Xenopus tropicalis: one gene and its partner. The protein of the gene in region 2 binds, or shares a complex with, the protein of the main gene of each other region. Links are inferred from orthologs where the notes say so. Each region holds a gene or a part of one and is shown on either strand. Other genes may lie near its edges.

Evidence for each region.
Region 1: the proteins of fgfr2 (region 2) and fgf8 are in contact, whole or in part, in a crystal structure (PDB 2FDB), measured with the Homo sapiens proteins. The link is inferred for Xenopus tropicalis from reciprocal best matches to the Homo sapiens genes FGFR2 and FGF8. Residues at the interface, in NP_000132.3 of Homo sapiens: Glu160, Lys161, Glu163, Lys164, Leu166, His167, Ala168, Val169, Pro170, Asn173, Asp247, Val249, Arg251, Ser252, Ser282, Asp283, Ala284, Gln285, Pro286, His287, Ile288, Gln289, Ile291, His293, Leu309, Val311, Leu312, Lys313, Ala314, Ala315; in NP_149354.1 of Homo sapiens: His53, Val54, Gln57, Asp62, Leu64, Ser65, Arg66, Leu68, Ile69, Arg70, Tyr72, Tyr75, Arg77, Gly80, His82, Val106, Glu107, Thr108, Thr110, Phe111, Gly112, Ser113, Val115, Thr148, Glu149, Ile150, Val151, Leu152, Glu153, Asn154.

Annotation. Positions count from the first base shown.
Region 1 is NC_030683.2:31,018,330-31,022,881, forward strand, and holds the start of fgf8 (fibroblast growth factor 8 precursor), read right to left. Parts: upstream 2,927-4,552; 5' UTR 2,623-2,926; coding exon 2,591-2,622; intron 2,504-2,590; coding exon 2,467-2,503; intron 796-2,466; coding exon 615-795; intron 1-614. UniProt on the Homo sapiens protein: Plays an important role in the regulation of embryonic development, cell proliferation, cell differentiation and cell migration. Required for normal brain, eye, ear and limb development during embryogenesis.
Region 2 is NC_030683.2:19,258,051-19,262,569, reverse strand, and holds the start of fgfr2 (fibroblast growth factor receptor 2 precursor), read right to left. Parts: upstream 2,958-4,519; 5' UTR 2,572-2,957; intron 1-2,571. UniProt on the Homo sapiens protein: Tyrosine-protein kinase that acts as a cell-surface receptor for fibroblast growth factors and plays an essential role in the regulation of cell proliferation, differentiation, migration and apoptosis, and in the regulation of embryonic development.

The DNA of each region.
Region 1 (4,552 bases), about 12 Mb from region 2:
GGGGCACAGCTAGACCCCCATCCCTAATGTAACCTAGGTTTACCACTTAGTCATTCCATGACAAAAAAAATACAGTTAGTACAACTGACAGAGGCCAATTGAGGTCGGACTTGAGTAACCGTCTATTTAATCATTAATCTGCATTTTTTCTGAGGACCACATATATATAATAGCATATATGAACTAAGAACTGCGTCAGTTGCTGCACGGACACAAATATAAAATAATAAGCTCCATCCATGAACAAATACTACTTAGTGTATGTAGCCACCAAATACTTCTTATGACTTTTACACCCAATGACCATTTGTATCTAACTCTATATAGGTTATGCTGAGACAAGGGCAAAGTGGAACAAAAATCTATAGCACCCAATGAGAAGTTAGCTTTTGTTGGTTGAGTGCTAAAGCACATGTTTGATTGGTTACTATGGGTTTTTGAAATAGTGCAAATAACTTCCACCTTCTGTGTAATCCCCTATTATATGATGTTTCATTCCAAACTGCAGGTAGGTCCCACCTGTTGCACACATTCTGCTCCCTGGACCACCCTGCAGTACACACAGATATAAAACTTCTCATCATACATAAAAATATATGAAATTGTATTCTTACCATGTGGGTCGCCGTCTTCTGCCATGGCGTTAATCTTCTTGTTCCCCAAGATTTGCACATGCTTGCCACTGGTCCGACTGTACAACTGGTAGGTTCGGATGAGCCGTCGGCTTAGTTGGTCGGTCACCAGGCTCTGCTCCCTCACATGCTGTGTAAAATTAGGTGGGGACTGAACAGTTACCTTTAGGAAATATATAAAACAAGCTATTATATTTATACTTCTTAATACAGCTGAATGACGGCCAACACAGTTTATTGTGTGGGCAAAATGCATTGTCCAAAAGGAAACCAGGACAAAATATGTATCCTGGCCTATTCATTATGGCCTGTATACTCTGCATTAGCAGTCATTCAGTTTGATAAATAGAAGGAAATATTTCTAGACTGGAAGCTCTTCTGAGCAAGGCCCTCTCCAGCTATTGTATTGATTGGGATTGTTATTGCTACTCAGCAGTGCGGAATGGGCTGGAGGTTTATAAATATCTGAAACGACTGACAAGCATTTCAGTTTAGAAACTCACATTAACCTGCTCAGATGTGGGGGATAAGACTACAACTGATAGACTACAACTCCCAGTATCTCCTAGGACTTGCAGTTTAACAACTATATATATTGAGAAATAACCTTACTCTCCTACCTCCCTGGCCCAACATCTAGTGATAAAGCATTTATTGGTTCTATTTATGATCACAATATAGAAAAACAATGCCATAAGCTGCATTAGCATAAAATAATTTTACACTTGAGTTGAAACATGCACAAGAGTAAGGTTCACTAGTGAGCCATAGTGTAACACTCGCCATGCCAGTGCAGAATAAGGCTTTCCTTGCAGGGAGGCTAAGCAATATTTAAACCTTACAGAAGGGTGCTTGGCTGTGACATTTATAAAGATATATTCTGAGAAAATGGGAAGAAGATGCGACTTTCACCCTTGGGGGCAATGAGCCAGCTCAAGCTGCAATCCCCATAACAAATCAGAGATTTAACATCTCAGGAACAGCCCATACCTCACAAAGTCTGCAGTATTTTATGCACAGGCCTGACAATTTCAGCTTCCCTCTCCCCTCGGTGCCTCACTCTCCCTCCTTATACCCTCTCTTTCGGTGGGTGAGCCTATTCTTCCAGCTCTTGCATGGACAATATGTTTAGATGCCGATGCCAGCTCCAATGTGGGCAACATATGGAGAAGGTCTGCTTGCCATACGCTTCTTGCTCCTCTCCCTATGAGATCCAAACAGTTCTTTTTCTTTTTTAAAATAGCTCTTCATAGTTTGATGCTCCCTTTCATTTTAAATTATCACATGAATGGGAACTGTATAGATATACAGCAGAGCAGAGCAACAGTTGATAACTAAAAAAAAAAAACTCTGCATTTAATCTCCATGTTTCCTTACTGGCCCTGATATCTATAAGTTAGGGCCACTATTGATCTGTCCCAGCAAATCACAGAACAATATTGCCCTGATAATGAGTTTTTTGTTTAATTATTACAACTTAGGCCCCTAACATTCCTAAGGCTGGTTCCTACAGCACAGATCCAAAGACAAGTCCCTATAAATCTTATCCAGTAAGATCAGTTCTAATTACTAGTAAGGGAAGTGTGGGTACTGCAGAAATGATACCCAGTGACCCCTAATCTAGTGGGAGAACCAGGCACCCCAAATATTGGTTTAGCAGCTCATTCTGCACATTAGACTGGCAGTGAATTTGGATTTGATATTATAATTCGGCTCTTTGGAAGAAAATATAATAGTAAAAAAAGTCTAAAGTGAACCTGACTCTGAGCCAATTGAAAAAAAAAAAACATTAACATGCAAGTAGCAGAGGATAGAAAATAAAAATTCAATTTACCTGGGCTTGTAGGCAGATGACAAACAAGTGCAGTAACCTGTAAAAATAGAAGAGAAGGTCCAGTTAGCAAGCAGGGTGCGGGCAGAGTGGGAGCAATGTGGGTGCTGGGTGCCCCAATACTTACAGATAGCCCAGGATGGAGGTGATGTAGCTCATCCTGCCCTGCTGGGTGCCTCTGCCTGTCGGGCTGCCCGATAGTCCCAGGGAGTCGGATTGCAGTGGAGCGGCTGCTCGGCCGATGAGCTGCCCGGCTGGTAGCAGGGGAAGGTGCAGCGCTGCCGTTTCCTAGTCCCGGGAGCTCCCGCAGTTCCCTCCGCCCATCCCCTTGGCCAGGCAGCCGAGTCTGGAAGAGAGGGCACCGAGCCACAGCCAGGGAGACGGGGGGGGTGAGTAGAAACACGCTGCACTCCTTGTCCGAAACAGACGCAGCGACTTCCCAAATAATGATGCTGATAATAACAATAATAGTAATGATAGTGATGGGGAGAGCCTGAGAGCAGCCCCCTGGCGTATCGGTACAATCCCTCCGGCGCTACAGCTGGTGCGGAGCTCACACGGCTCCCCTGCCACTTGCCTCCAAGTGAGAAAAGAAACAGCCGAGATGCGCTGACAATTGTCCCAGTGCTGTGCCGGCCCCCCGGTCCCAAGGCGCAGATGTAGGCGCAGCGCTGTCAGCTTGAGCGCTCAGGAGAGAGAGAGAGCGCAAAGTCAGAGCGCAAAGTCAGAGTAAGAATGCGAGCTACTTCCCAACCTGGGAGGATCACTTTCTCTCGCTCTCTCGCTTCCAAAATGACGTTGTGTTGGGCTGAAGGCAGCGCTTGGTGTGTGAGAGCTGATGATGAAAGTGTTGATGAGTAAGGCTTTCTCCTTCTATGCACAAGCTGCGATCCCACCGGCCAATAGAACAACCTGGCTGAGTGGCTGCGGCTCAGAGACCTCCTGATAGCCCTGAGAGAGTGTGAGTCTGTGTGTTGGCCGCTGTCTCATTGAGCACTAAGTGAAGTGATTGCCAGCGATCAGCCCTTGTCCCTCCTCTTGTCCTGAACTCTCCAATGTCAAACTCCCTTCTCATCTGTCCTGGGTTAAATGTGGGAGGATGGAGCTGGAAACCACCCCCCTTGTATATCTAGGCTCACAGGATGCACTCCATTGTACAGATGGGTTAGAGAGGGCATTTAAATCCCCAATTACCCATTTCCACTTGAAAGGTAAAATCTCTAATTCAGCAGTTCGGGAACAAGTGACTGCAACAAGGTTAAAGCACAGTGTGTGTATATGTACATAGCTTAATACATGCAGATGGTGGATTTGTTTTATAGAGGGACTAGTACACCTACAATCGTTTAATCGGCCTGACCAATTGTCTATATATCCATCTAGCTTAACCCATATCCATCTAATCTATCTGTTATCTATCTGCCTATATATATATATATATATCAATCTCTATACATTCAAAAAGAATGCAAGCGAATATAAGTATTTCTATCAATGATCTATTTATCTATCATCTATTATCTATCTTTTATCTATCTATCTATCTATCTATCTTTCTATCTATCTATCTATCTATCTATCATCTATCTATCTATCATCTATCTATCTATCTATCTATCTATCATCTATCTATCTATCATCTATCTATCATCTATCTATCTATCTATCTATCTATCTATCATCTATCTATCTATCTATCTATCTATCTATCATCTATCTATCTATCTATCTATCTATCTATCATCTATCTATCATCTTTCTATCTAACTATATCCATTTCTCTAGATTCACAAAAAATGCAGGCATATAAAAGTATATTTATCTTTATCTATAATCTATCTATCTAGCTAGCTATCGATCTATCTATCCATCTCTCTGTAGATTCACAAAGAATGCAGGCGTATTTAAGAAAATAATAAATATATACGCAAAACATAACACTTTAGTGCACTTTAGAGTATGAAAAGCAACAGGTCCATTAATGTTCTATAATGAATGTGTTATAAGACCAAAAAGTAGCACCATGTAGAGAACTTTGTCACTGCGGCAATTGGCTTATCCGTGGGCTTTGGGCAGTTCACACGTTTTA
Region 2 (4,519 bases):
TCCCCCAGCACTCCACCATAGATTTCTATTATCTAAAGGTTTGGCCAAGATCAGAAAATAGCCCTAATCTGCATTTTAATTGAGATTCCACAGAAGGGGAGACCGTGCCTCAATCCCTACTTATCAAGGGGCTTTAGTGCAACCCCCATTAAACCCGCACAATGAGCGGGGGCACCATGTACACTCTCATATAAAGCCAAGGAATTCAGCCTCCCTCTTGGCCACGGATTCCCCCATTGTATGCACCCCAGATTCCAGCACACAATGTACATTTAATGAGGGCTCCACAATGCACTTTTTCACACTTAACACATCCAGTACGGAGATTTGTAAAAGGGTTGTTATCTTTTTAGACCAAGCTCCGACACCAAGGTACAATGGAGCTTCACAACAAAATGCAAACACCAACGCACAGTCCCAAGAGCAGTTGGCACACAGGGATTTTACATGCAGCCCCTGGAACCTTTACATTATAGATGGATTTTTTCCCCCTTTACAAACAGCCTTCAAGTCAGTTCCTTGATTAACACCAGATACCACGCTGACTGGGTTAGGAATTCACGGCCGGTGGGACAAAGGAATGTTTTGCAAGGATTTTTTTTATAATGATAAAGAAAACCTGAATTTTCCAAAATGTGAAGCTTTTGTTGGGCTGCGTTCAGGGGCCTGTAATGCGTCTGTGGCTTTGCCCGCTGTGTGGGTGCTAAACACCTAACAGGCCTCTCTCACGGGTAGAATCCTAGCCCCTTTCTTCCTTGCCCGATGCAGACTATAAACCTGTCATTAATGGATCGGCAGTTCGTTTAACCTGTAGGAAGCACCCCCCCCAACCCTGATGTTGCCGAGTTTTGCGTAGAAAATAAAGGAGGACAAATAAAGAGAATTAAAAGCCGAAGGGGCTGCTGTGGGGCAGGCAATATTAGGCTCAGCAGGAGGAGAACATGTAAAATATTCATGCAAATATCCAAAATATGAGGACCTGGGGGTGCATTATTGCCCCCAGGACATTTTACATAAAACAGTCTTTACAAGATAGCGTTAGTACATGAATGCAAACACAGACATAGCGAGGGTACATACACACTACTACTCAGACTGTCCGTGCCCCTTGTACTGGGCCCCTCGAGCATCTTAGCACCTAAACAGTCCTGTCAAACCCTAGGGCAAAGGCACGCAATGGATCCTGCATTGGTTCCATGACCCTTTACTTGTCCAGCCCTACGTATGTACACAGTGGAAATGTAAATGTGGCTTGTGGCTCTGCTCTATGCATATACATAGCAACCGGTCCATCAGACCCGGTGGGTTCCAGCATTCGTGCCCATTGTGATACATAACTGTACAAAGAAAGACCCTATTGTTTAGCGAGCATTTAGGAGCAATCAGGAGTCGCACTCCCCTACTGCACAAGGGGTACCCACGGGTATAACATTGTAACCTGTAAAAGCAAATCCACATTCTGCAATGTTGTTTGTCCAGCCTGCAGCCCTCCAGCTGATCTGGAACTCCCAGAATTCCCCAGTAAGCTATAAGCATCAGATAATAGTGAGAGTGGCATTTAGACTGTCTGGTCATGACCAAGGGCCTATGTTTATATGTTACATTCATAAACCTACTTGGGGCAAAGCATGCTTTGTTGCATACCATAATGCAGGCCGCAGTGGCCCTCCATATTATTCACATTTATTTATAAAGCGCCAACATATTCCGCAGCGCTGAACAATAAGTGGGTTCCATACATTGGACATACAGAGTAACATATAAAGCAATCAATAACCGATACAGGAGGTGAAGAGAGCCCTGCCCAAAAGAGCTTACAATCTACAAGGAGAAAGGGTTGAGACACAAGGTGTTGTTCAACTGCAACAGGCTTTGGGCAGTCAAAAGCCGCTCACTTGTAGGCTGCCCAATGGCTGACCATTATCACCCAAGTTTGACCATTAATTACCAGCTTTTCTTAGTTTGGGAAATATGATTGCTTTGATCCCATTTGTCTATAACAATTATAATAACACATAGACATAGCGCCTTCTACAACAACTTTCCAACATCAATCCTGGGAGCTACCACACAGCTTGCATGGCAGGGGTAAAATTAAATATTATCCACTCACTCCAATAATATAGCGCCTCATAGTGGCCAAACATGCCAGAAAGCTTTAATATTTAAACCCAATTTCTTGTAGGCACTTGAGTACCATTCACTTCAGCAATAAATACAAGCTGGGCAAAAGTCCATGTTTTTCAAAATTCATAACGATCTAAAGCTGTTTTAAATGTTCTAAAACACCAACCCACATTATCATGCATTGCTCCCATAAATAAAGACCATAAAGTAAAATATGCAACAAACATCACCCTGCAGCGGTTTTGTGCGGCAAAGCGAATTTAACGCATTGCGCTTCCAATTACGCACAGCGATTTCCTCATTACCTGATTAAAGCAAGGAGTTTTAGACAAGTTTAACCAATGACATGACACAGGTATATCCCCTGTGGGGGTCTGTACCCCAGTTCTATTAGGCTGAGAAGCCCCTCCTAGAGTTACAACGTTGCGGGTTTGTTGGCATTACCTGGAGAGATGGCGGTGTAAGAAAATCCCCTCAGCCCTGCATCAGGCGTGTGCCTGGCAAGACTCCGTGTGTCCCAGGGGACAGATTCCCAAGTCCCGTTTCAGCCAATGAGAAATACGTATCCCTCCGAGCGCAGGGTGAGCGAGTCCCGATCCCGACTCAGAGCCCGGTAACCAGCAGCAGCCAAAGCCAGTGAGGTTCCAAAGAGGGGAACAGGCAGAATCCCCTTTGCAGGGTGAATGAGTAAGTTCTCTGTGATTTCTTTTCTCTCTGAGTGAATCACCAATCCCCTGATAGTCCCACAGTGATGAATCCCGCAAGGTTCAGTGCATAGGAATCCCGGTAAGTGCTATCCAGGCAAGCCAAGCCCTTCCAGGCAGCAGTGCAGCCACAAACAATAAGGTAATAGGTAGGGAAAGTTCCCAAAAGTGGATGTGTGAGAGGTGCAACCCAGTGTAGATCCCGTGTGTGAGGGGCAATGGAAAGTCTGTGTGACTTTTCCCTCCCTCCCCCTCACTCCTCATCCTCACTCCCAGCCCCTTCCTCCTCCCTGAGTCACTCCCCTCTGTCTGGAACCTGAGCCTTCATCCCTCCCTTCATCCAATGCTGGAGCAGCTCCTCTCCCCTGGCCCAGTCTCCCTTCCCCAAGCCCTGCTGGCCCTCCCCCTGTGCCTGCCCCACACTTTGGCATACATCACTGCACAGACTGGGGAAGGTTTGTTTGTATTGGAATTACTATGCTATGTGCGCTCTCTTTCTCTCCCATTTTCCATCTCCTTCTCCTAATATTTATCTTCTCTTCATACCCCCCTCATCATTAAACAAACAAAAAAAAAATTAAGATCACCGGTGAGGTCACAGTATTTTAGTGATGTCATACTGTGTACTTGCATCGCCATTGGGCAATAGGGTTGGCAATGTTAACAAGAGAAAAATAATCTTCTACTGCCTAATTATAAATATATTATAAGTAATATTTTTATGGCGCTACTAATTATATTCAGCTATACAAAGTAGAAAATAAACCTCTGTGCCAAAGAGCTTACAATCCTGTAACTGTCACTGCTATAGGGAGGCTGGAAGGTTCTATAGGTTCTACTGAATAGGTGATTGGTAAAAAGTGCTTTGAAAGGGTACAGATTGCAGCACTCAGGCTCAGACTGGCAATCTGTGGATTCTGCAAATGCCAGCTATATAAAGTAAGCCTCTGTACCAAAGAACTTACAATCTAAAATCCTGTCACTGTCGAAGGGAGGCTGGAAAGTTCTGCTGTATAGATGATTAGTGTCTTGAAAAGGTACAAATAGGGACACTCGGGCCCCGACTGGCAATCTGTGGGTCCTGGCAAATGCCAGCTATATAAAGTAAGAGTAAGCCTCTGCACCAAAGAACTTACAATCTAAAATACAGTCATTGTCAAAGGAAGGCTGGAAAGTTCTACTGTACAGATAATTTGTGTCTTGAAAGGGTACAAATATGTGTGTATGTATGTATATCTTTATTTATAAAACGCTACTTATGTACGCAGCGCTGTACAGTAGAATAGATTAATACAAACAGGGTGTTAATAAGATAATAGATAAATACAAAGTATAATAATAAATACAGATAAATACAGCAGCAATAAGTTGAGAGTCGAGGATACAAGAGGAAGGAGGTCCCTGCCCCGTAGAGCTTACAATCTATATAAATAGTGACACTCAGGCCCGGACTGGCAATCTGTGGGTTCTGGCAAATGCCAGAGGGGCTGCTGTAAGATGCCATAGACACTCACTATTTATTGGGCTAGTGGGGGGCTGTTTGGGCTTCTCTGTACATGAAATACCAGGGCCTATTTTGACTCCCAGACACTGTCCCTTACATAGTGGGGGTCACAAGGAGCAGCAGGTACAGGTAGGAAGAGTTGGCAGTTAGTAGGCACAGCAGAGCATGATGGACACAAGACAAA